2 linked regions of the Caenorhabditis elegans genome follow. Changing the gene in region 2 together with the main gene of any one other region gives a genetic interaction. Each region holds a gene or a part of one and is shown on either strand. Other genes may lie near its edges.

Region 1 (13,472 bases), on a different chromosome or scaffold from region 2:
GTGACCTACTACTAATAATAACTGGCCAAAAGTGAGACGAGGAAGTCGAGAAACGAGAGACATGTAAAACCGAGAAGCATGTAGCTTTGAACTCTGTTGGTCCCGTGCAGAAGCTCCCATTCTTCCTGTTTTTTTTCTAGTGTGAAACCTATATTATTCCTCACTCTCACAAAAGACCAAAAAGTCGTCGACGCGTGCGCGCGTTCAATTGAAGACAGCAGCAGTTTCTGAGCTTTTGATAAATATTTCAGAAGAGTTTCACCTCCATTCCTCCCACAATGATTTCACGTAAGCATAACTCATTTGATACTTCTTCTTTTCAGCTGTCTTCAAGAAATGAATTTGTTCAAACATCGTGGGATTTCCCTGAATTTTTTTCTTGGCGTGTTTCCTGGAAACCTGAGATTTCAATGTTTTTCGTCTTCAAATCACTAATTATTTTGTATCCAAAAAAATTGTCTAGAAAAATATTTTGGAAAATTAAAACTTTTGCCTCGAAATGTTAAATTGTAATTGAAGGGTTTTGGACTAAAAGTAGACCTGGAAATGTTGTGTCTGACTATTATAAAATCAAATTGTTCTTGTTTTAAAAGATGTAGCATTGTCAAATTCCAAAACATAGTCAAAAATGTTGCAAAATCGGGAAAGAAAAAATATCAAACCCGTGGTATTTACCCTAATAGATTTTTCTCCAAAACAATACTTTGAAACAAATCAGCGCTCAGGGCGGCGGCAGTAATTGCTGGCTGACCTGAAAATAGAGTTGTGCAGGCACCAAAACGCCTGTCTCCCTGCCTACCTGCCTGCAGTCCTCGCTCAAATATTGAACTTTCAACCTTCGGGAAAAGTAGGTCAAAAACTCTGAATCTTCTGGATTAAATTAAAAATGTTTTTAACATACGTAAATCTATATTTGAATTATTTTCTGCACGTAGACCTCCTTGATCTAAATTTGAATTATTAAACTCAGACATCATTTAATCGAAAATGTCATGTATTTCTATGTTTTCTGCAGGAAGTCATCATAAATCGCTCGCCCCCATTTTATACCGGACAGGATTAAATTTCATTTGACACTTTTGCAAATAATGATGTCAATATCTTATTTTATTTTTTTGATTAGGCATCTTGTTCTATTTATCCATATAATTCATTTTTCCAAGCCAGACATATTTGGCTGATCAAAAACTATTTCTTCTTTCGAGTAGCCTCAGTTCTGGTCCATGTGTCCTAATAGTTTCAACCCATCCGGTGTCTACATTTCTTTCAATTCTTCTTTTCCGTTCGATCCGTTATTATTCGAGTTGTGCACAAGTCTTTTTCTCTTACTCTTTTTCATCTTTAGGAGACCACACCCTCCCACAGCTTTCTTTCGACAAACCGCTTCTTCTTTTTTATAGCATTCCATTCGGTTAAGTCCGCCTCCTCTGTCCTATGGTCCCAAACTTTCTCTCTAAATTTCCATAATTTCTATCATCTGTCAGGACTAGAAAAAAGAGTTCTACCGACTTTTTCAACTTGTTTTTTATAAAATTTTGCCATTTTCCTGACTTCTCCGACAAGTCGTTCGATTCAGTTTTCAACTACTGTATTTGTTTTTTTTCTGTTTTTTCCCAGTTACACTTTCTACACGTTTTTGTGAAGTAGTCAAGGTGAATTTCCAAATTTTAACAAACTTTGAGAAAAATTTGTGGTTTTGAAAAATTTAGTGAAAAGTAGTGGCTCATGTTTGATGTTTTAATTTACAATGCTATAATTTACAAATATTAAAAAAAAAAGTAACAATTTTTTAGAATACAAAATCAGTAGGAAACATTCGTTTTTGGATGACTTTTTGACTGTACATTTTTTGAAAATTCAAAAGTTATTGGAATATGGCTGGCAAAGCTGATTTGGTTATTTTAGCCATACATAAATGTTTTTTCATCAAATCACCCCCCCCCCCCCCCCCCAGGTATTATTCACATTCAAACAGCAATTCTCCTCAAATAATCGTGCACCACACCGCTTAAATTTGACAGCTTATATTCTCGGTGGTCTTCTTTTTTCAAAAATATAAGAAAAAGTATGTGTACCTGAGATCTAACAAAAATTAAACCGAGATCACAGTTATTAAAGTGAAGGTATTGGGAGCAAATCTGATGGATTCACATAGTTTCCAATACTTTACGAATCTAGGTGGCCAATCTTCTTTGCATATTTACATGTGGTCAAGAAATGTTTTATTTGAATCTGAAATTATTTACCTTCCATACTTTGTAAACAACAAACATCCGCTTATTCAACCAATGATTTTTCGAGGATCATAACAGATTTTAAAATTGTACGTTTAATTTAAATTTCCAGACAATCAAAACACAAGCTTCGACATGGATTGACTATGGACATGGACACAGCTTATCCTGTTTATTCGTCTATGGTGAGCTACAGTTTGATCGCCATCTATAGGAAATCCAAATGAAAGAGACCTAACAAATACTTGGAAAAATGTAGTTTTTTATTAATTGCACCTGCTTCTAGAACAAGAAGTTCGTGCTTCGATCTCTATTCAATATTATTTCCTTATTCTGTAAAAGCCTGGGCGGTTTCCGGTTGAAAGGCTTGAAATGAAGATGAGAGAGCAATTCGTGGAAAGTGAAAACTGAAGGTTGATGACGTTGCTTTATTTCAGGAAGAGTGCACTGCTGAATGTGGATCCTTGGTTTCTTACTGCATTGGGCATATGCCGAATCTTGTGTGCCAACTCAATTTTGTTGCATTTTTAGCTGTTATCTTTTTCGCAATTTTTACCGGTATGCTTACAAGCTAAGTCTATAAGGACACTGGGTCCTATCAAAAATTCGAGGCTGCGTGTGACGTCACGCACGCTTAAAAAAATTTTTGTACAAGGACATCTTATTGATTCTCATTTAAGAAGAAATAATGATAATATTAAAAAATATATATTGTACGCGAAGTGCATGGAGGGATTGCATTGTGCCCATAATCAAATTCATTAAGCAAGGGTTGAGACCAGAGATGATTCGTCTCTACTCGGCTAACAAATATTATAGTAGGGAAATATAAATAAATATAGCAACGGCTTCTCCTACGCCAAGCGTTATGTTCTTAGTCCGAGAGTTTGGCAGTTAACTCGAAAACTGTCCACGTTTCGGAAAACGATGTATACCAAAATGTTCAAGAATACGGTACCCGGTTCTGGCACGACAATTTTTTGTTAAATCCGGTTTTAATGTTATATTTGATTTTTTGTAAATAAATATTTTTTTTTTCCAAAAAAATAATTAAAAATTGATGAAACTTCCGCAGCAATGAATTTTAAAATGCAGTACTCATTAAAGGCACACAACAATTTCCATGTAACAAAAATTGTCGTGTCGAGACCGGCTGCGGTATTTTTGGCGGAAAAATTGCAAAATTTTGCGACTGGATAGTATAACCTAGGGTGTAAATTTTGAAAAAGTAAACATTCGTTAATTCTTGTTCATATGCTATTCAGATGTTTGCTCTCATCTTGATTAGCCTATTTAAAGAAACCAAAACAAAACTACTGTAGTCAAAGTTTTGTATCAATTAAATTGGCGGAAGAAGCCGTCGATGTTTGTTCGTTTTCATTCAGAGCACCCGTTCGTTTGCTTTTTTCGGTGAAACGAGTAAAGGGAGTAATTGCAGACGGAACTCTTCGTTTCTTGTTTGTTTTAACTCGTCACTGAGCTCTTCTCATGTTGATGAATAAGCGGTGAACGCAAAGCAGGCAAAGAGATGCATAATCCGCGGTGTGCTGAAAGAGATTGGGTGAAAATAATTGCCTATTTTGAAAGTTGACGTCAAAAAATATGGAAAGAAAATAACTATATTGTTTTTGGGAAGAAAACGAAGATGGTGACAAATTACATGTCGGGATTCTTGTTTTAGTGTGTTAAGGGGCCATTCCTATATGATATTACGAGAACACTGAATTTCAAGAATGCGTATTGAGCAAAATATCTCGTAGCGAAAACTACAGTAATTTTTTTAAATGACTACTGTAGTGCTCGTGTCGATTTTCGAAAATGTTTTCTTTTCGAATTTGGACAGCGGGTTTCAATTTTGCTTCGCTTTTTCGAATTGTAAATAATTTTAATTGATAATCGCTGCCAAAGTTCGAGAAAATATTTTCGAAAATTGAGCCCGTAAATCGACACGAGCACTACAGTAGTCATTTAAAAAATTACTGTAGTTTTCGCTACGAGATATTTTGCGCGTCAGATGTTGTGCAATTCGCATTCTCAAAATGTAAATAGTGTTCCTGTAATATAGGCGCTGGGGAATTTTAGAGAAAATCAAAATCTATAGGAAAAAACTATGAAAATTCCAAGTTTGCCTAATAATGCATATTTATTTCAGGTATCTTCATTCCTGTTTCGTGCCTATTTTGTTGGGTAAGCGGTGGTTGTCGACGATCGAAATCCCGTCGAATGTCCTTCTTCGCAACACTTTCAAGTCGTCAAAATCGAAGTCGACGTGGCACAGGAAATGATGAGGAGCGAAGCAGTTTGTACCCTTCCTCTCCACCCACTCTTCAAATCCGTAAGTTTCTCTCTCTCTCTCGTGTTTTCCCATCCATTTTGAAGTTATCATCAAAAACCACAAAACTTCAAAATTCACCAAACTTTTCCAGCAGCATCCACAAAGTGCCGACAGCCATCGTCCTTTTCTCTTCCCGCAGTCTCTCACGACGTCATTTTAGAAGAGAGTGAATCTTCTGATCATGAATGGAGGAAGGCCAAGAGGTGCCGAAAGATAACATTTGATCTCTCAATGACACGCCGGGATAATGATCTTTCACAACTGTGATTAAATTCAAACTGAAATCTAGTATTAACGGGTGATTTTGAAAATAAAACAATTGAATATGGCGAAGCACTTCATTTGACTTCGAGCAATACAGGAATGCAAAAATAACTGGCGAACACAGCGTCTATAAAATACAAAAAAAACAGAAAGATGCTCAGAAAATACAATACGTGGGCACATTCAATAATGTTAGCAAGCGAGGTAGGTTAAACGGACTGGTAGTATATTTTCAATATAGAAGATCTGTTTTCCGATTGCTAATGTTGAGTGTATGTGAGAGATGGCAAAATAGGGAAGATGCTGAAACGCATTCCTACAAAATAACACCGGGGGGGTCGATATAGAAGCTACAGGGAAGAAAAACTAGCAACGAATCATTTGACAAGGACAACGAGTGTCGCTGTACAAGAAGATTCCGTAAAAAATTTGTTAAAGCTTTTTGGTTAAGTGAAAGTTTAGGGGTGTTCGATAAAATGCAAAACACGCAGTTAGTAGAAATAAAATGGGCGTATCAGTTGAACTGATTACTGGCTTGACGATTCTTTTGGTGGAGAAACAGACTTTCCGTGGAACGATGTGGAACCTTCGTAGAGAGCAGCGAGAAGATAATCAGGGCTGTTATGTGGGGACCAATGAATCTCTTCGTCTAAAATTTGATTTTTAAATGAAAATCGACAATCTAGAATCTAAACTATTTACCTGAAACTGTCTCGCTCTCTGATGATCTCAATCCAGAAGATGTCACAGATGGTGCTCTCTTTCCTTTGTTAGCACTATTATTTCCTGATCCAAAATGGTTTGAAGTGTCGAGAAGAGCAGTAATCTGGTCACGAAGATGATGTGGGAATATAGAGTTCAACTCCACATCAGACAGCTCGTGATTCGAAGAATCAGAACACTTATTGCTGCATGGTGAGTTTTGTCTGTGCATGCACATCAGAATACTTGTTTCCGTCGTAGGCTCGCCGTTTTTGCAGAAGTATTCACCAGCTGAAGAAAGCTTGAGCTCGCTGTGCTTGGTGCATCGAGGTGGTTTGGTCTGCACAAGACTACGCGTGTTGAAAATTCCATTGCTACGGTATGGTGCCATCATGAATCCAGCTTCGGGAAAACATGTTGTGTTCTCCTTTTCCTTGAACAACTGATGCATTGGCTCAGCTCTCCATAAATTATGAGGGGCTCGAAGATCGACACACAGCTTTGGTGGTGGCAAAACTTCATTTTGTGGATTGTTGATAAGCTTTCTGCGGGTTGGTGTCGCTCTTCTCACTTCTATAATTCTTCCTTGAACATGTGATTCGTGAAGCGCAGCACGAGCTTTCTCACAGGATTCGATGGAATCGAGTGTGACAAACCCGAACCCTTTGGATCCACGATCATTTGTGACGATTTCCACACTCAGGACTCTTCCATATCTGAAATTAATATTCTTATTCAGAACTTGTTGTAAATTGAAAACTCACGCGAAGAACATTGCCGCCAAATCTTGTTCACGAAACGAGAAGGGAATATTGCTGACATATATCCTAAAAGTTTTTTGATGAATTCATTAAAACGGCACGACAAATTTACCTGTTATCTGTGAAAGAAGCCGGCTCACGAGTTTTCGGTTTGACCGATATTGGCATTGTGAAAATTGGATCTTTGTTGGAAGGATTCGCACTGTTAAACGGTAATCTGAAAAAGAAATACTTAATACCAACATTTAAAAATGATAAACATACCCATCATGTGCTCTGTGAGCGAAGTTAGTAAATATCTGTGTGTTTTGCATTCTGAAAAAAAAAGTTGAATAAAGAAAAATGAGGAACTGGGTAAAGAAAAGACAAGACAACAGAAGACAAGTGCAGAAATGATTCCAAATGATGATAAAACGATTGAAAATATAATTTCACATTTTCCCGCCACCGAGTTACAGAAAAATCTAAAATCAAAATTTCGCGCCTTTGTGATCTTCTAGATTTCTAGTTCATACGAACGTCGGATCAGGTCTAAAAGTTAATATAACTAGACAATTTTGTGTTCTATTTTCGATTAAAAAAATTATTTTACGAATTACTAGAAACTAAAGCTTTAATTCGATTTTCTTTAGGCCAAGAGCAAAAAATAATTTTATTTGATTCAAACTCGCGCTTCATTCATAAGCCCCGCCTTCGCAATCCTGGCACGCAGTTTTTGCAAGGAGCGTGCACGCAGTTGCCTTTCTTCTCTTTTTCTCGTTTCATGTCAATTGCGTTTTTTTTCTCTGCATTTATTTTTTATTGAATTCTTTTCCCATTTTCCCATAAAATTTTATCTATTTTTTCTCATTCTTATAGTTTCTTTCAGATACTTTGCAAAAGAAATGATAATATTATAAAGAATGGCCCTTCGAAGGAAATTCACTTTTGAACTTCCGGAAGACAGTTATTGGAATGAATCTGACTCGAATTCATCCGGATTGTTTGATGATTTACAATCAAAACAAGTAAGTTTTAACGTAGTTATTATATTAAGAAAAAACGAAAAAAATCTTTTAAAACTATAAACGTGACCAGATGTTTTACTTTTAAAAAATTGAAAAAAAAGTAAATTAACACGTTTCTTAATTATTATATTGCTCAAATCAATGTGTTTAACACGAAAATTAAAGCTTCAAGCTCGAGCAGCCGTCGACAATCTCTTCGGTGGCGATGAGACTCCGAAGCCGTACGTCCGACCGCAGAACCCAACGCCAACTCCCACAAATGTTCCACTGCAAATTGACGGAAGAGCTGCTGCTGTGTCAGACAAGGCGAATATTCGAATAACAGAGTAAGTTAATTACATTGTTTTATGAATATAAATAAGTAATTTGCAGTACCTCTCCTCGGGCTTCTGGCAAGATTGTAGATGATTTCTTGAACATGAAATTCGCTGAGAACGTTAACGTGGCGCCAGTTATTCAGACCGCTCCATCTGTGGTTTCTGAAGCAAGTGCAAGTAGTTTACCAAGTGAAGCACAACGTCTTGATTTGGATTATAATCGATTGAGACAAGAACATCGGAAACTTAAAGATCAGCACGAAGTTAGCTATTAAAGTTTTAATATAGAATTTTGAAGATAATTATGATTCTAGGTTCTTCGCCACGAACGGTTTCAGCCGCTTACAATCGAGGCTAGTATCAAGAGAATGCTTCAAGGGCATACTGTAACACTGGATTACTATAGGTCATTACGTGATAAGACACAACTTTTGAAGCAAGCAGTTGCCACGTACGACAATAATACAATTTTCAAGGTCCGAACAGCTATGATACTAATTTTTTAAAAAGTTATCTTTCTTTACAGATTGTGATTTTTCTAGAGAGAACTCTCAAGGAAAACATATTCTGCAAAATAATGGATGGCCAGAAAAGTGCATGCCGAGTTTACACACGACATCTTCAGATCACCGGCGAGTGGGACAAGATGAACAAGTTTTTACGGTATTTAATAAAAACTAAATTAAAATTTGTTGAAATCAATTTCCCCATTTTATAGTAGCATTGGTCAGTATCAACATGCATCTGTCATTGAATTCGAAGCTACGCGAAAATACAAACGAAATCCAGACAAGCGAGTCCCGTTGCTCCGAACCATGCTTCATGGTAGCTTCTCAATTCCTGAAATGAAATTTGAAGCCCGACAAATGGAAGCGTTGATGAGAAACTATGAAATCCAATTGCAAATGGAGAAAATGGATGCTGGAGATAAAGGAGAACATTTCCGAAAGTTTCCAAAAACCAGCTCTCTAATTGGATTACCTGCTCTATCGTCACTGTATTATTCAGCGATGTACCATTACGACGATTCACCGGTACATTACTCTTCAGAACGTTGCAAAATCATTCATAATCGATGTATTACAGACATCTGCAGCTTCTCTACCATCAGTTCAAACATTGATCCGATTCAATGATCGACTTGCCACTCAAACGATCGTCTCAGCGTTGACTCGACTAAGCCGTTGGCCAGATATCGATAAGCTACTTCAACCGAAAACTATCACCATGACGTTCAGTGCAGCTAAAAGTAATTTTGTGGTTTTAGCTGAGAAAATATCTAAATTAACTGAATTTCAGGTGTGTTCAAAGGCAAAAAATCAACCAGTAAATGGGGAGTTTCCATCAATAATCACAATTTGCTGACTATTGTAAAACGATCTCATCCATCTCCACCGACTGATGTGAGGAATAGTTTTAACAAGATACCTATTATTCATGTGTGTAAATTTTCAGTTCATCTACCGTATCCTGAAAGGCGAATCTGATGCACAAGAACGTCTTCGCCTAGCACTACTATTTGATGTTCCTGAAATGGTCATCGAGTGTCTGACACAGAAAGGAGATCGTCTCTCGCTGGCTTCATACGCGAAATCTCTGAAAACAAATTCTGTGGAATCATTCAAAGCGGTGGCGGCTCTCAACAATCCGTCGATAAAATGGAAGTAATTTTATTAATTCGCTTCAATGTACTGTACATGTTTTTTCACCCTCACCACATCCCTCATCACTTTCATAATTCCATTCACGCATAGTTAGTTGTAGAATATACACAATCCTTATCATATTATAGAGCATCATTTCACTTCTTAATACTATAACATAATTTCACTATTCAGTCTTGTAAATGATTAAGAATTATTCATTTTCACTGGTTCCTCGCTCTCTCTTTTTTTCTGTAGATGTAAAAACTTGTCGTTATAGATATTTATTTAAATAAAATTTATTGTTTTCTATCTTTTATTTATTTCTTTAAAAAATTCGCCGTGAAACTTTTTTTTACTTTTAAAAATTTCCACGACGCTTTATTTTTCCTTTATTTTTATTTTATTTCGACTAAATCATGAATAAGGTAAGTTAAAATTATTTTTGAATAATCAGAATGATTTGAAAACAAACGCGCTCCATGTCAAAATGAAAACGCTCCGCCCCCAACAGATGGGTCTCGTTAGGTATTGGCGGAAAACCACTAAATTCAAATTGACCCATGGAGCGCGCTTGCACCTCAATTTCAAAGATTTGTTGTTTCAGACAAGTAAGACTACTGCAAGCAGCTCTAAGAAAACATCAATTTCGAGTGGAAAACCGAAAACTCCACGACGAAAGAAGCCCGGCGCTGTTTCAAGGTGAGCAATTTTTCAAAATTTTATTTCAAATTCGGAATTTTTTTCAGACTTCTCACCACAGAACTACCGCTGAATTTTCTCTTCATTTACATTGTGTTGGCTGCAATGTTTACCACCCTGATCTTCTGGTCACTTAATCCGGTTAAATTCTAGTGATATTATTTCGTAACAGCTCTCCGGTTCAAAATAAATAACAAGACTTATTTTATACAAAAACACGGATGCAAGAAAAAAGGAAAAGAAAATTGCGCGTTAAACAGAAGAAGCTCGATGAAAAAGTGAATCAGGCGAAACAAAAAAACCATTTGATAATAAAATTGGGCACTTTTCGGTATTTATATGATAGGGTAAGGCAATTAGTTGACACAAAAGAAACGAACACGGAAATTGGGAGAAAATGGTGGAAAGAGCGAGGAGATCAACAAATTGATTTATTTTACAGGAATTGGTGATGATGGTGGGGGAATTTTGGTTTTTTTTCTATTAAATTATGCGTGAAATAATGATGAACTAGAATCGAGTGAGGAGAAAGCAGAATACATGAGTTGTGACCCGGTGTAGGGAAAATGTGTAGGTTAAATACGTTTTTTTCTTCTGGAAACAAAAGCAGATATATGCGATGAGAGAGATCTTATCCAGCGATTGGAGTATCCGTATGTCCCATAAGTAAGCTGACGTCACAAGTATCGCCAGAGTTTCGGGGTGACATTGGTTGCGATCGGAGGATTATTACTCTGGAAATGAAGATTTATCGATTTGCCTTTTAAAAAACTGAAAAAAACCTAAAAATTTATGAAAAAATACTTGTATATTTTTGAATTTTTCTTTGTTTTATTCTGATATTTTCATAGAATTTACGCCCTTTCAATGATAATTGTAAGATAATATATAGGATGCTTACAATTAAGTCGTTTAAAATTTGAATTTTGAAGTTTTCAGAAAAAATTTACAAAACCACATTTTTGCCGTTTTTTGGCTTTTTGTTTTTTTCGATTTTGCAACAAGAAAAATTGGATTCTCTCTTGATGAACATTAATTCCATATTTAAATCTGCGTTTTCGCATTAATGCGATATTACTTAAGTTGAATTTTTTTAAAACTAAGACAACTAGAGTTATTAAAATTTTAATAAGTTGATTTTTGTTTAAAAAAAGGTTCTTTAGAATATGGAGATTGCCTTTTTAAAATTACATTTTCATATTTAAGAATGATTTGTTTTTTCCAAAATTTGAGAATTTTTGTTTATTTTACGTTTTTTATACTAAATATCATGACTGTATTTTTTTCAATTCATTTTTTTCAATCATAATCTCAAAAATTGTACCTATCATCACCGATCACACGATATAATCGAGATACATCGCACAAATCCTGAGTATTCAGATTACTTTTCAAATCTCTGCCTTGAACTCCATTTGCATGAAAAGCGAGAATCGTTCCATCGACGACGTGTAGATATTCAATGTGAAAATTGAAAGTGAAGATCGACGGCTTCGGGCGTTCGAATCCCTGTAGATCAGTCAACACTACTTTATTGCGGAATGAAAAGCATAATGTATCTCTATCAATTTGATGCATACTTCCAACTTCAAGCATTTCGTCATCGGCAAGACTTCCGTATGATGAGTTTAAATCTCCACTGAGCTCAGAGTTATTAGTTGATGAGCAGAAATTGATCATATTGAATTGATATTCATTTGATCCAGACATTTGACCAACTCCAATGCATAATTCTGGGAAGTCTGATGTTCGTGAATTAATCAATGCAAATGGTCGAATGGGGAAACGAATGTCTTCTCGAATAGGCTCACTTCGAACCAAAACAAACTGATTCATTGGATTGTACCTGAAACAAAAACCATTTTGCATTATTATACTTAAAATGAACGAATTATGTAGTGGGAATTCTTTAAGATTATAAAAAAGTTTATGGTAGCTTGAAACTTTGAAAAGGGCTTATTTTAGCTAAACTCATTAATTTTCCGTGTCACAGCTTTTGGATATTAACTTTTTTTAAAGTTATAATCCATATAGGAACGCTTACATTTTGGATTCAGCCCTGATTCACAATTAATGTGAGATAAACTACAAAAATGTATAATAAGTAAGGATAATCAAATAAATATTTAATTCAGGCAGATGCGACATTGACAAGTTGGAAAAATTGGGATTTTAGATAAAATTAGTCCTTTTTTTTCGAAATTTTTAAACCGACATGAGAATTTTTCGAGAAGTTTAATCTGCAAAAATTAACAAAAAAAGAAAATCTCCAGATCTTACCACTGAAACAGGTGAACAGTCTTTCGAACAGCGCAGCACAAAAAGAGAGAATTTGCTTGAGCTCCTTGTCCTCGTTTCACTGTACACTGTAGTGCTCCACGTGTTTCAGGCATCCTGACAGTAATCGCTAATCGTTTTGGTACATATTTTTCGGGAATTTTGTTCAGATTTTTGCTCATTTTCAGAGTCAAATTTTTCTGCGTTAAAGCCACAAGATCATGACGATAGACGTATGGAGTATTTCCCTGGATAGCTGTTAGTCGATCCGCGTACACAAACATCCATGAGCAACGTCGATGATGGATCTAAAATAATGGAAATAATGATTTGTTAACAGAAAATTAATTTTTAATACTTACTTTAGATAGATTTCCATCCGGCATGCAGTTCGTATCGAAAGAATAAATTCCTTGTTCCGTACCAAATAACAGAAGGTGAGCACCGGTTAACGGATGAACCCATGAGGCGGCACAATTGATTTTCAGCTCAGTTCTATCCATAACTTTTGAGAAACATGCTCCCATCGGAACCTTTGGAATCAATGGCATACCGAAGAATGTCGTTAATCCATCTTCACTCGGTGTTGAAGCAATTGATGTAGAACTGAATCGATTTTTCGAATTTCCAGCAGCAGCTTTCTGAGCCGCGCGAAGCGTCCTCGGAGGTGCTCTTGGTGCTCGAAGAGTTTCATCATCATCGTGAATTACTCCGTTACCACAGTGAAGTAGTGCATCACCACCAACTACGTCTGGTAACAACGGCATTTCCTTGGCAGGAAGTGTTCTTTCAGAATGATATCCTCGATTCAAACTTCGTGGCGTTGCAGTTGGTGTCCTCCGATCTGATTCTGACGAAGTGTTCGGCGATGAGGATAGTTGTTCGAGACATCTCGCATCTAATCTCAAACCGTTCAGATGAGCAGGCAGGCCGATTCGAATTGGTGCAGCATCCGGTGTGAGAAGTGAAGGAGCATCATCCATATCTGATTCTTCTTCAGTCAAGTCATCAACAGTCTTCGACATTCGATCATAAACATCAGTTGGTGCTCCGTTAACTTTATCCAATAAATCTCTTGTCATTCTAGCTGAAAGTGATCCAAGAACAAAAGGATGGCTTGTCAGAAGCTTCTCCGGTGAAGGTCTCTTTTTCGGATTTTTCGTGAGGCACTGACGAACAAAATCATGGAATAGCGGAGTCCATCGATGCTTGTCTTTCAGGTGCGGTGGC
Region 2 (11,834 bases):
ATTTTGATAATAAAAAATTAAGGTTTTAATAAGAAAATCGAAAAAAAAAACAGAAAATCAGCGAGACATTGAGATTACAGAACATTTTAAAGGCACATATCTTTATTTTTCTAACATATCAGGTCGCGCCGAGACCGGGTATCGTAGTCAAAAACCGCAAAATTTTGCATCTGGGCAATATTTTCCAAAAAAGGGCAGAAATTATGACAAAGACGGTTCCAAACGAGTTACCTATATTTGGAAGATAATAATTTATTTTCGTATTTTCTCATCACGCAATTTTTTCAGTGAACTTCATTTTTCAATTAACGTAGTACATTCTTCGTATCTTGTTTATCAATCAATAAATCTTCAAAATTTCAATCATTGTTGATTAAACTTTCGAAGAAGAAAATTCCAAGTTAGCAAGGATCATGAGTGATTGCAATTGGACAAATCCATTGTGCAACACATCACTTCTCCTCGCAAGTGGATATGCTCTCTGGTCGTGTGCTTCAAAGAAGAATAAGGTAATTTAATCATAGTAAATAGTAAATATAATAGTAATTTGGGTTTTAATCAATTATTTTCGTTTTATCGCGAGCAGTAAACTTCAGTTTCTAAATCCTTATCCAGCGTCTAGTTATTTTGAAAAGAGTTTAAATCAGAGATCCAAAAAACTGCGAGTTTTTTCTTTCAAAAAAAATCAATTTTTCAGAAGGAGACTAAAACCGAAACTAAAAAATCACATGATTGTCCTCCACAAACCATCGAACCTGTTAAGGATGAGAAGAACTCAAATTCTGAAGAAAAGAAAACAACTTCTTCTAATAATGAAGTTCCCCCACAGAAGAAATTGATTGGAAACGATGAAGTGAAGAAAGAGAAAAAGAAAAGTGAGGATGATTTGTTGGATGTTAAGAAGACGGCAAGTAAGGAAGATGATAAGAAGAGGATGGATAAGAAGGATCCTAGTAAGAAGCTAAGTAAGGAGAAGCTGAGAGAAGAAAAGAAGGAGCAGAGCAAGAAAGTGAATAAAGAGAAAAAGATGAACAAGTCAGAATCAGTTGATGAAGATAATGAACAACCACCGGAGCCTGGAAGTGATCCAAGGAAGATTTGGGCTTTTAAAGCTGCTAAAATGGTATGGAATCTGATTAGTTGATTGTACAATATTCCCTTTTTTAGAAATGCCAAGCGATCAGTAAGCTTCATCAGGATAAGATCAAAGGGTACATGCCACCGAACTGTACCTATACCGCTTATGATGCTAATCCGGATCTCAATCGCTATGCAGATGTTCGTTGTATCGAGGAGACACGTGTCGTTCTGAAGAACCATGACCGTGACTACATCCACGCGTCGTGGATGAGAATGCCTGGGAAAGATCAGTCCACGTATATCACAACACAAGGACCACTTCCAGAGACTCTCTCAGACTTTTGGCATATGATTTATCAGGAGAAGATTGCCTATGTCTTGATGCTTTGCACTTTGTTTGAAGGTGGTGTTGAGAAATGTGCTCTTTATTATCCTGAAAAACTCGGTGAAGTTGTGAAATTCGGAAAATACGAGATCACACTGACTGAATGCAAAGAAGAAGCCATCGCAGGAACAATTTGGAATGCTTTGACTGTAACCAATACGGAGGATGCCTCTTCTGAACCATTGTACATGAATCATGTGCAAGTTCCATGGTGGCCAGATCAATTGGCTCCGGAGGATGCTCGTCCGATGATCGAATTGTATAAATGGGTGAAGAAGGTGAATCCAAAGGAAACGCCGATTTGTGTGCATTGTAGTGCTGGTGTCGGAAGAACTGCCACTTTTGTTGGTAAGTTATAAAATGAACAATACATTCCACAGGGGCAAACATTTATATTCTGTTAGGTATCGACTACGCGACTATCCGCATAATGGAAAATCCGAATATTGAGATGTTGGATATTGTCCGTGAGATGCGTGCAATGCGTTTCCAAGCTGTTCAATCTCATATGCAATTCCTATTCCTTTATGTTGTTTTGATGGAGTACTTTATTGGGGTATGTTCTTCATATTTTTGTACATGCAACAACTCCAAATTTTAGGAAGGAGTCGTTGAACGTACCGGACGAGTTGACACTTTTATGACTCAATACAAGAAGCATGCACAGAAGAAGTTGGCAAAACGTGCGGCCCAGAATCAGTGAGTTTGCTGGTTTTGGAATTAAAAATAGTGATAACTTTTAGACAAGGCGAGAAATTGGCAGCGGAAGAAAAAGAAAAGGATAAAGTTAAAGTATAGAACTATTATTTTATGAAATTTTAATAAATGGAATAAAGTTCAACTCATGTGTTGTGTTTTCTTTGGTTGATTTGTTTTTTCATTTCCATTTCAGATCGAGGGAAACTTTTAAACCTACTTTTTAACTGACATTCTCACAAATAAAATTAGCAATTCAACTGTCAACTCAATAAAATTAGCAATTCAACTGTCAACTCAATAAACTCCTCAACATTTCAATACATAACAATTGATATTAATTATACCTGTTGAGACAGTTATGGGGTCATTAGTTATGATTTCCTTCGTTTATGGCACAAATCAGAGTCAACCAAGAAATTGTTCCTTTCTACGAATTTTAAATACTAATTATTTCTACCTAAAAATTAGACAAGTTCGAACATGCGTAATTCTCTTAAATTACTTCAGAAATGTTATTTTTTTGAAAACTTTGGTATTTGCCAAAGTTTTAACTGTTTTTTTTTTCGTTAAGAAATAATTTATGTTGCATGCATTTGGACTGTTATGTATTTATTAAGTAACAGCCACAGGTTGAAAATGTCTATTCTCTAGAGTCTAGACGGACAATCTATGCGGATATTTCAACAAACTTTATGAGATTCGTAATAAGACATATTTACGTCAAGAAAGTATACTTTTCGAAAGACTTTCGAAAGTCGATATAAATATCCACCGACGTTTACGTAATATTCAAAATATCGTGCTACTGTACAGTTAATCTAAAGCCTTGGGTACCTAGGAGCTCTTGCCTTTTTAGTTATTTTTTCATTAAAACCCCCAATATTTGTATTTGCTCATAGAACCAATTGATTTCTTTGGGAATCTACTGAAATATGTGCGCGTTTTAATTATTGCGTTGTCGATCAATAAATTTGTGAAGGCGAATGAAGAGAGGGGAGGGGGTTTTGTTCTGACCATCTGTCCATTTTTTGAATGGTTTCCTGTTTTGTTGTTTTTTAAAGCACTTATTCACTTCTCACCTCACCTAAAAATCATTCTATTTTCCCGTTAGAATATTGTATAGCGATTTTTATTATGATTAGAAAATCCAATTTTAACTTTCAAAAATCATATTCTTAAAAAAATGTAAAGGTTTTAGTTATCTAAGTTTTGTTTTTAAAAACATAATCACTTGTTTTATTTCCAAATTTCAACGACTTTCATGGGTGACAGATTTTAGAGCAAGGGTCTCGTCACGCGTTCTAAAAACATTTTGTGTGTGCACCTTTAAGTTACTGTAAGAATTCTGTAACAAAAAAGTCAATCGAAATTTCCTTCTGAGATTTTTTGTTGAGAAAACACGGATATTTGCAGAAAAAAGTTTTTTCTAAATGTGCAACTTTTTCTTTTCTTGGACTTTCTCAATTTCACTAGTTTCATAATTTTCAGATGCAGCCTTCAACCAGCAACCATAACGATCCATATGCAACACAATTCGAAGACGGAAACTTTACTAATTGGGGAGAGGCCGAAATTTCCGATCGAAAAAAGTTTTTTGACAGTGTGCTCGCGGATCGTGCGCAGAAGAACCATGAAGAGGAGCAGAAGAAAAAATTGGCGAAGAAAAGAAAGTGAAATTTTGGCATTACATATATAAGTTCGATTTTTTAAGTAAAAGTAAAAATAAATTCATTTCTATAAACTAGATAATAGATTGATGCTAAAAATTTAAAAACAAATAAAGTCAACAATTGAAAATACTCCGGAACTTAATTCTTCTTCATACTGGGACTATTCTGCAAGTGTAGGAACTTAGTCTTCAACTTCTGAATTCGTTGATTTTGCTCGACTTGTCTTTTTCTTAGAGCTCTCCAGTACAACCATCCATCCTTTTCGGCATCCAAATCTTCTAAATCTCTTGGTGCTCGAAGATCCAATTTGAACAGCCATTCAGGATACTCCGAGTCTGGAAGAATTTTCGGTCCCGGCTCATCTCCTTGTGTGTATGCATTGATGCATACGTGGGTTGCCAATTTGACAGCATCTTCTTCGACGAAAGATTTGTCGACTTTTACACCTGCAGCAGCTGCTGCAGCTTTTGGTGGAGCATATAAGCGTCGAGGTATCAGTGATGTAGTTCGACTGACTGTTGAAAGAGTCGAACGGAGCATCTGAAATTTTGAAACTAGAACTCTTGAAATCGCACATACTCAAAGCAAGATAATATTGCGTTCAACTATGTACAAGCAAAATATCTTTAAATGTGATAATTTCATTTTTCGGGTCGAACTTTTCTTTAAAAAAGCGGAAAAAAGCTCAACCATGAACTGCCTCCATTTTACTTTAATTAATTTTTTAAAAGATTTACTTTATTTGCTTTTCGAATAATTGTTTTTACTATAAATAGAAAAACTGCAATTTTAGAATGTGACATTCTAGAATTTTTTGAAGTTATTATAAAAATTTGCTAGCTCCATCGAGAAATATATTGAAATTTTTCTCCGGCACACTTGATCGACATAATACATGCACATTAGATACGAAAAAGTATTCAAACTTCTTTTAAAAACAATTTTAAAATCTTATAAAATACAAGATCTTTTTGTTTAAAAATAACACAACCAGTCATAAAATAGAGAAATAAAATCCACAGATAAGTGAGAACAAAATACAGATATGTCAGAGGTTTTGAGGGGTAATAACTGTAATTCACAAAAAAAAAGCAATAGAAAAATTATTCCAAAGAGCTAAGTTTACTAGATCTGACACGTTTTGCAGATGCTGACGATTCTGGCGATTTCAGCAATCGTTTTCCTGTGCTCAATCGAGACGACGGTGAACTTATATGTCCAGTTGAGAGAGGAGTTGGCTTCTCAAAGCTTTGCACATACATCTGTTTTGCTGCACCTCCAGGTCCATTCAGAACTTCTTGAAATGTGACAGCAAGAGTGGTTTTTGACAGTAGAGATGGCTTGCTGAGTCTCGGTTTGAACATTGTTTCTTCGGAGAATTCGATTACAGTTTTTTCAGTTTTCTTGAATAACTTTCCGGCGCGAGCAAACATATCATCGCCTTGTTTCGGCTCATCGAGCAACATCAATTCTTCCGCCTGAAAATATTATGTAAAATAACTTCAAGAAACATATAACTTTTTTAAAAACTATGCATAACATTTGAAAGAATTTTAATATTTTTGGATTTCATTTAGAATATAACAAAATCAAAAGGAGTAATAATTTTTAATTACCTTTTTTCGAACAATGTTTTGTGCTCAAAACATTTTTTGTGGGAAATTATTATCAACTCACATGTTCATATTTGAACTTGATCATTTCGGCTCGTTCCTTCTTTTTTTGTTCATCTTCTTCTGGTTCATCATCTTCTCCATCACCATCATTTCCATCTACATCATCTCCCATTTGAATTTGAACTTCTTCTCGTAACTTGAAACGGAATTGACGATTCGTCTCAACTCCACCGAGATCTCCGTCGGCAAGTAGACGGTCTTGAAGTTTTGCAAGCTCTCTGGAAAATTATAAATTAATTTTTGATTCTACATGCCAAAGTAAAAAAAATAGAGAAAATATATTACCTTTGTTCCTTATCGTTTTCCTGTTTCAGCAACAACTTATGATTCTGCCTCCGAATAGTATCATTATCGGGAACATCATCTGCATCTCCTTCTTCTGCTTCATAAACGTTTTCCATGCCTTCTTCATCTTCTAGATCACTTCCAACATCATCACCGGAAAGTGAAGCTTCATCATCAAAAAGTGTTCTCTTTTTGATTTTTTGTTTGTATTCTTGGTGTTGCAAACGTTTCAAGATAGCTAATTCATCGTCTTCATCGTCGAAATTTGGATCCGGAGCTTCTACTCCTTCGGTTTCAGCTTCATCATTCTCACTCTCGATGTCATCTTCCTCTGGTTCTTCTTCATCATCACCTTCTTCTTCAGCTTCTTCAGCTTCTTCATCACTATCTTCACCATCACTCAGAACAACTCTTTTCAGCTCGGTTTTTTCTTCTAAAACTGTTTCTATCTTTTCAGTGAATTCACCAGATTTTTCGCAAATTTCTTTGATAGTTTCGGAATCTTCCAAAGTTCCCGATCCAAAAACGTCTTGGCTTGGCAATGTCTCCTCGATGACGTCATCTTCTTCGTCCGAATCCAAAACTCGATGATTTTTCACTGCCGGAAGTCTCCTCTTCACACCAACATCGTCTTCGTCTTCAGATTCAGATTCTTCCAAGCGGGGCTTGTCTGACGACACGGACGTCGAGTTTTGTGGCAGATTTCTTTAAAAAGATCTCATTTAATATAATTAAATCGTTTGGAACACAGAACAATGTTTTCGAAAGTGAATAAGCGATCGTGGACGATTTTTTCTTGTATTTTTTTTTTAAGATTTGCAGAAAAAACCACAAATTAGAAAGTCAAAAAAAAACAACCGAAATTTCATTTCTTCACAGTTGAGCTGTAAGCGCGCTCTATCGATAATCAAGATTTGATAAAGGAACGAGATCCAAAAAACCTCTCTAAATTTATGAGAAAGAATTATCAAGTTCTCTATTTAAAAGATTTACAACAAATTATCTTTTGTTTAATGATTTGATAAACTTTTTCTTTGAGAATGCGAATAGTTTCAAGGAAAAGAAAAAGGGCTCCAATTTCAGATTTTCCGGAATGAGATTAAGTTTTCTAAAACATACATTTTTCTTTCAGTCGTGTCTTCTTCTATCAACATTTGCAAAGTGTCTGGAAAACCAGCAGACTGTGAAACTCCAAAACTTCCAGGGCACAAATTGAGAATATCGTTGGATCCGCCAGTAATTTCCGTCATTGTCGGCAGTTGAACTACTCCATTTTTTTCAACAACATCTGCTTCGGAACGCCTAAATTTTATTTATAAAAACTCTATCAATCAGAGATTTCTTTGAAAGATCTGACACATATGTTACACAAAAACCGCAGAAAATAAATTTAGATGAAACACTAACGAGTCGAAATTTGAAACAGTTGATCCAGGTCCTGATCTCTTCACATTATTGAAAACATCGTAAGTAAACGAGTCATTCAACAAGTTCACACTCATTTCATCGTCGGCTCGGCCATTATTCTTCTCATCTGAATCTTCTTCTCCGCTATTTTCAGGTTCATAGTCTTCATCATCTTCGCTTTTATATTCTTCTTCATTCACAGGTTTCTTTCCCTTCTTTTTTTTAAAAACGACATCTTCTTCCTCTTCTTCATCACTGCCAGCCTTCAGATGTTCATTATCCTCTTCATACATTTTCCGACGTTGCTCTTGTTCTGAAAACTCAAAAATTGTAAAAATTTAACACGAAGCCGATACCTTTCCGTCGCTTCGCTGACATCGAAGCTTGAAGCTTCTTTTTTAAAGTCTCGCTGGTCAGAACTGGAAAAAGTAAGTTAAATCAGAATTATTACGAACGAAACTAACGGCTCTTGGGTGCGTTCTTCGATATTTTTCGAGGAACGGCGAATAATTTAGCTTCTTCCGGACTTTTTGCCAATTTCGGAATTTTTTCAGCATTAAACGTCTTTTTGAACCATTTGTTACTTGGGTCATCATCTTCATTTGTCAGGTCAATCGTACTATTGGCAGATAATAGGACTCTCCCAAGCTTCGGAACAGGAAGAGGACTTCGTTCTAAAGCCAGTGCTTTACGACGATTAAGACGACGAAGTTTTCGGTCTTCTTCAGCTTGCTTATCGACTTCCGTGTTTTCACTAGATATCAGCTGCTCCTGAAATATGTATTTCGATCCAGTTTCGGTCTTAAAACCATTACCTGGGAATCGGACATGGTGTGTTCGGCAACTAGAGAAGATGGAGAATCTGTATCGTCTGCTGACACGGTTTTTGTTGAACAGGAATCAGAATTCATCTGGAAATTAAACTAAAACAATATTAAAAAGAAGTTTGGAAAATTTCAGTCTATAGAGCGTGATTTTCTTCGGTCAGTTATAAAGTACAACATTATGATAAATGTAATGGCCCTTTTTTGACTTTATTAAGAAAAAGTTAAACAGATTTGACAATTTTTTGTAGAAAAATAAGGAAAAAATGGCATTAAGATTCAAAAGTAGGCGCGAAAATGAATTGGTTGGCAGAGCGCCAAGTGTTTGAATTGGCGCTCTACCGTACTTTGCCTGCACATCTAACAGATCTTGCTGGAGGAGTTGACAACGCAAATTTCTTTACTCTTGTCACGCCGCTATCCTCTGTGCGGTCCTTTTTTGTTGTTGTATCTGAAGAGAACCCTACAAAAAACTAAAAATGGTGAGTATTTATCCCTCTAATTATTGTAACTGTACGTTCTGATGAATTGTCGTCTATTATTTTCGAAAAAAATTTAGGACAAAAACGTAAAGTTTCAAAATAATTAAATGAAATTAGCAAATTTTGGGCCTACTGAGATTTCGTTCCCGGATATGTTAATTAAATTAAATTTCAACTGAGAACCATTCAGTATTATCAAAATCTGAATTAAATTATGGATTTTCAGAAAAAATTTCGTTAGGTAAAATTTCATAATTTTTATCGATTGAAATAATTATTTTTTCCTCTTCAGGTCAACTTCACGGTCGATGAGATCCGTGCGCTTATGGATCGCAAGCGTAACATTCGTAACATGTCTGTTATTGCTCACGTCGATCACGGAAAATCTACCCTTACCGATTCACTCGTTTCCAAAGCCGGTATTATTGCCGGATCCAAGGCTGGAGAGACTCGTTTCACTGACACTCGTAAGGATGAGCAGGAGCGTTGTATTACCATCAAATCTACGTAAGTTCATTTTTAGGATTTCAGCTTAAATATAATATTGTTTTAGTGCTATCTCTCTTTTCTTCGAGCTCGAGAAGAAGGATTTGGAGTTCGTCAAGGGAGAAAACCAATTCGAGACGGTTGAGGTTGATGGAAAGAAAGAGAAATACAACGGTTTCTTGATCAATTTGATCGATTCACCCGGTCACGTTGACTTCTCGTCTGAAGTTACTGCTGCTCTTCGTGTTACTGATGGAGCTCTCGTCGTCGTCGATTGTGTTTCCGGAGTGTGTGTCCAAACCGAGACTGTGCTGCGTCAGGCTATTGCTGAGCGTATCAAGCCAGTTCTTTTCATGAACAAGATGGACCGTGCCCTTCTCGAACTTCAACTCGGAGCCGAGGAACTTTTCCAAACCTTCCAAGTAAGCTTTGTGTTTCAACTGTAACATTGTTATATATTTGTCGTTTAGCGTATCGTTGAAAACATCAACGTCATCATTGCCACTTACGGAGACGACGATGGACCGATGGGACCAATCATGGTTGATCCATCTATCGGAAACGTCGGATTCGGATCTGGACTCCACGGATGGGCCTTCACCCTCAAGCAGTTCGCTGAGATGTACGCCGGAAAGTTCGGAGTTCAAGTAAATTGATTGTTGTATGTTAAAATTATATAAAATATTTTTACAGGTTGACAAGCTCATGAAGAACCTCTGGGGAGATCGTTTCTTCGATCTCAAGACCAAGAAGTGGAGCAGTACTCAGACCGATGAGAGCAAGCGTGGATTCTGCCAATTCGTTCTTGACCCAATCTTCATGGTCTTCGACGCCGTCATGAACATCAAGAAGGACAAGACCGCTGCTCTTGTTGAGAAGCTCGGAATCAAGCTCGCCAACGACGAGAAGGATTTGGAAGGAAAACCACTCATGAAGGTCTTCATGCGCAAGTGGCTTCCAGCCGGAGACACTATGCTCCAGATGATCGCTTTCCATCTTCCATCCCCAGTGACTGCTCAAAAATACAGAATGGAGATGCTCTACGAAGGACCACACGACGACGAGGCCGCCGTTGCTATCAAGACCTGTGATCCAAATGGACCACTCATGATGTACATCTCCAAGATGGTGCCAACTTCCGATAAGGGACGTTTCTACGCTTTCGGACGTGTGTTCTCCGGAAAGGTCGCCACTGGAATGAAGGCTCGCATTCAAGGACCAAACTACGTTCCAGGAAAGAAGGAAGATCTCTATGAGAAGACCATTCAGCGTACCATTCTTATGATGGGACGTTTCATCGAGCCAATTGAGGATATTCCATCCGGAAACATCGCTGGACTTGTTGGAGTCGATCAATACCTCGTCAAGGGAGGAACCATCACCACTTACAAGGATGCCCACAACATGCGTGTCATGAAGTTCTCCGTATCTCCAGTCGTCCGTGTTGCCGTCGAAGCTAAGAACCCAGCTGATCTTCCAAAGCTCGTCGAAGGACTCAAACGTCTTGCCAAGTCCGATCCTATGGTCCAATGTATCTTCGAAGAATCCGGAGAACACATCATCGCCGGAGCTGGAGAGCTTCACTTGGAAATCTGTCTGAAGGATTTGGAGGAGGACCACGCTTGCATTCCACTCAAGAAGTCTGACCCGGTCGTCTCTTACCGTGAAACTGTTCAATCCGAGTCTAACCAGATCTGCTTGTCCAAATCTCCAAATAAGCACAATCGTCTTCACTGTACCGCTCAGCCAATGCCAGATGGTCTCGCCGATGATATCGAAGGAGGAACCGTCAACGCTCGTGATGAGTTCAAGGCTCGTGCCAAGATCCTCGCCGAGAAGTACGAATACGACGTCACTGAAGCCCGTAAGATCTGGTGCTTCGGACCAGACGGAACTGGACCAAATCTCTTGATGGACGTCACCAAAGGAGTGCAATACCTCAATGAAATCAAGGACTCCGTTGTCGCTGGATTCCAATGGGCCACTCGCGAAGGAGTTCTTTCCGACGAAAACATGCGCGGAGTTCGCTTCAACGTTCACGATGTCACCCTCCACGCTGACGCTATCCACAGAGGAGGTGGTCAAATCATCCCAACTGCCCGTCGTGTGTTCTACGCTTCGGTTCTTACCGCCGAGCCACGTCTTCTCGAGCCAGTCTACTTGGTCGAAATTCAATGCCCAGAAGCCGCCGTTGGAGGTATGTTGCATATTTTCAAAACTTATACGTTTTTATATTACTTATTTATTTTAGGTATCTACGGAGTGTTGAACAGAAGAAGAGGACACGTTTTCGAGGAGTCTCAGGTCACAGGAACTCCAATGTTCGTCGTCAAGGCTTACTTGCCTGTCAACGAGTCCTTCGGATTCACCGCCGATCTCCGCTCCAACACCGGAGGACAAGCCTTCCCACAATGCGTGTTCGACCATTGGCAGGTGCTTCCAGGAGACCCGCTTGAGGCCGGAACCAAGCCAAACCAGATCGTTTTGGACACCAGAAAGAGAAAGGGGCTCAAGGAAGGTGTCCCAGCCCTTGACAACTATCTCGACAAGATGTAATTCTGTCAAGATTGTTTATTGTTAATTTTTCTATTATAATAAACACGGTTGTTTGTTACTTTTTCTCATCATTTTTGTGCTAATCCACCTCTGGAATAAATCGTAAAAATTTATTTGGTACGTTGAAATATATTTGAATGTTTAGCAATCTTGTACCCTCTTCGTATTTGTCGCAGCTAAATAGTATATTTAACTGGATCTTGTAAATATTTATATATTACCGCCCTAAAACGATGGCTTCATAAACACAAAAAGTTTAAAAATGGATCCCTAGGATTGGAAAC

What was found.
Region 1: of mrpl-54 (region 2) and spn-4, a change in one rescues a mutant of the other (synthetic rescue), as found in Caenorhabditis elegans (one study listed by BioGRID).

Annotation. Positions count from the first base shown.
Region 1 is NC_003283.11:6,778,293-6,791,764, forward strand, and holds spn-4 (RRM domain-containing protein), read right to left. Parts: upstream 6,612-13,472; 5' UTR 6,611-6,611; coding exon 6,561-6,610; intron 6,514-6,560; coding exon 6,409-6,513; intron 6,363-6,408; coding exon 6,300-6,362; intron 6,252-6,299; coding exon 5,536-6,251; intron 5,483-5,535; coding exon 5,361-5,482; 3' UTR 4,895-5,360; downstream 1-4,894. Other genes in the region: ZC404.15 (uncharacterized protein), read left to right, coding at 2,381-2,419, 2,672-2,792, 4,387-4,569, 4,661-4,836; spe-39 (Spermatogenesis-defective protein 39), read left to right, coding at 7,199-7,303, 7,469-7,629, 7,676-7,883, 7,935-8,096, 8,147-8,283, 8,339-8,654, 8,707-8,869, 8,920-9,023 and 1 more; ZC404.2 (ABC transporter permease), read left to right, coding at 9,683-9,691, 9,871-9,965, 10,013-10,118; gck-2 (Mitogen-activated protein kinase kinase kinase kinase), read right to left, coding at 10,597-10,699, 11,290-11,811, 12,246-12,550, 12,605-13,472.
Region 2 is NC_003279.8:9,155,149-9,166,982, forward strand, and holds mrpl-54 (Large ribosomal subunit protein mL54), read right to left. Parts: upstream 4,375-11,834; coding exon 3,973-4,374; downstream 1-3,972. Other genes in the region: F25H5.7 (Protein-tyrosine phosphatase), read left to right, coding at 414-509, 698-1,123, 1,168-1,813, 1,870-2,021, 2,067-2,164, 2,209-2,263; F25H5.10 (uncharacterized protein), read left to right, coding at 3,653-3,838; clsp-1 (Claspin), read right to left, coding at 4,938-5,312, 5,512-5,728, 5,796-6,500, 6,915-7,097, 7,203-7,515, 7,559-7,621, 7,667-7,973, 8,018-8,113; eef-2 (Elongation factor 2), read left to right, coding at 8,506-8,508, 8,801-9,015, 9,062-9,416, 9,465-9,641, 9,688-11,191, 11,246-11,550.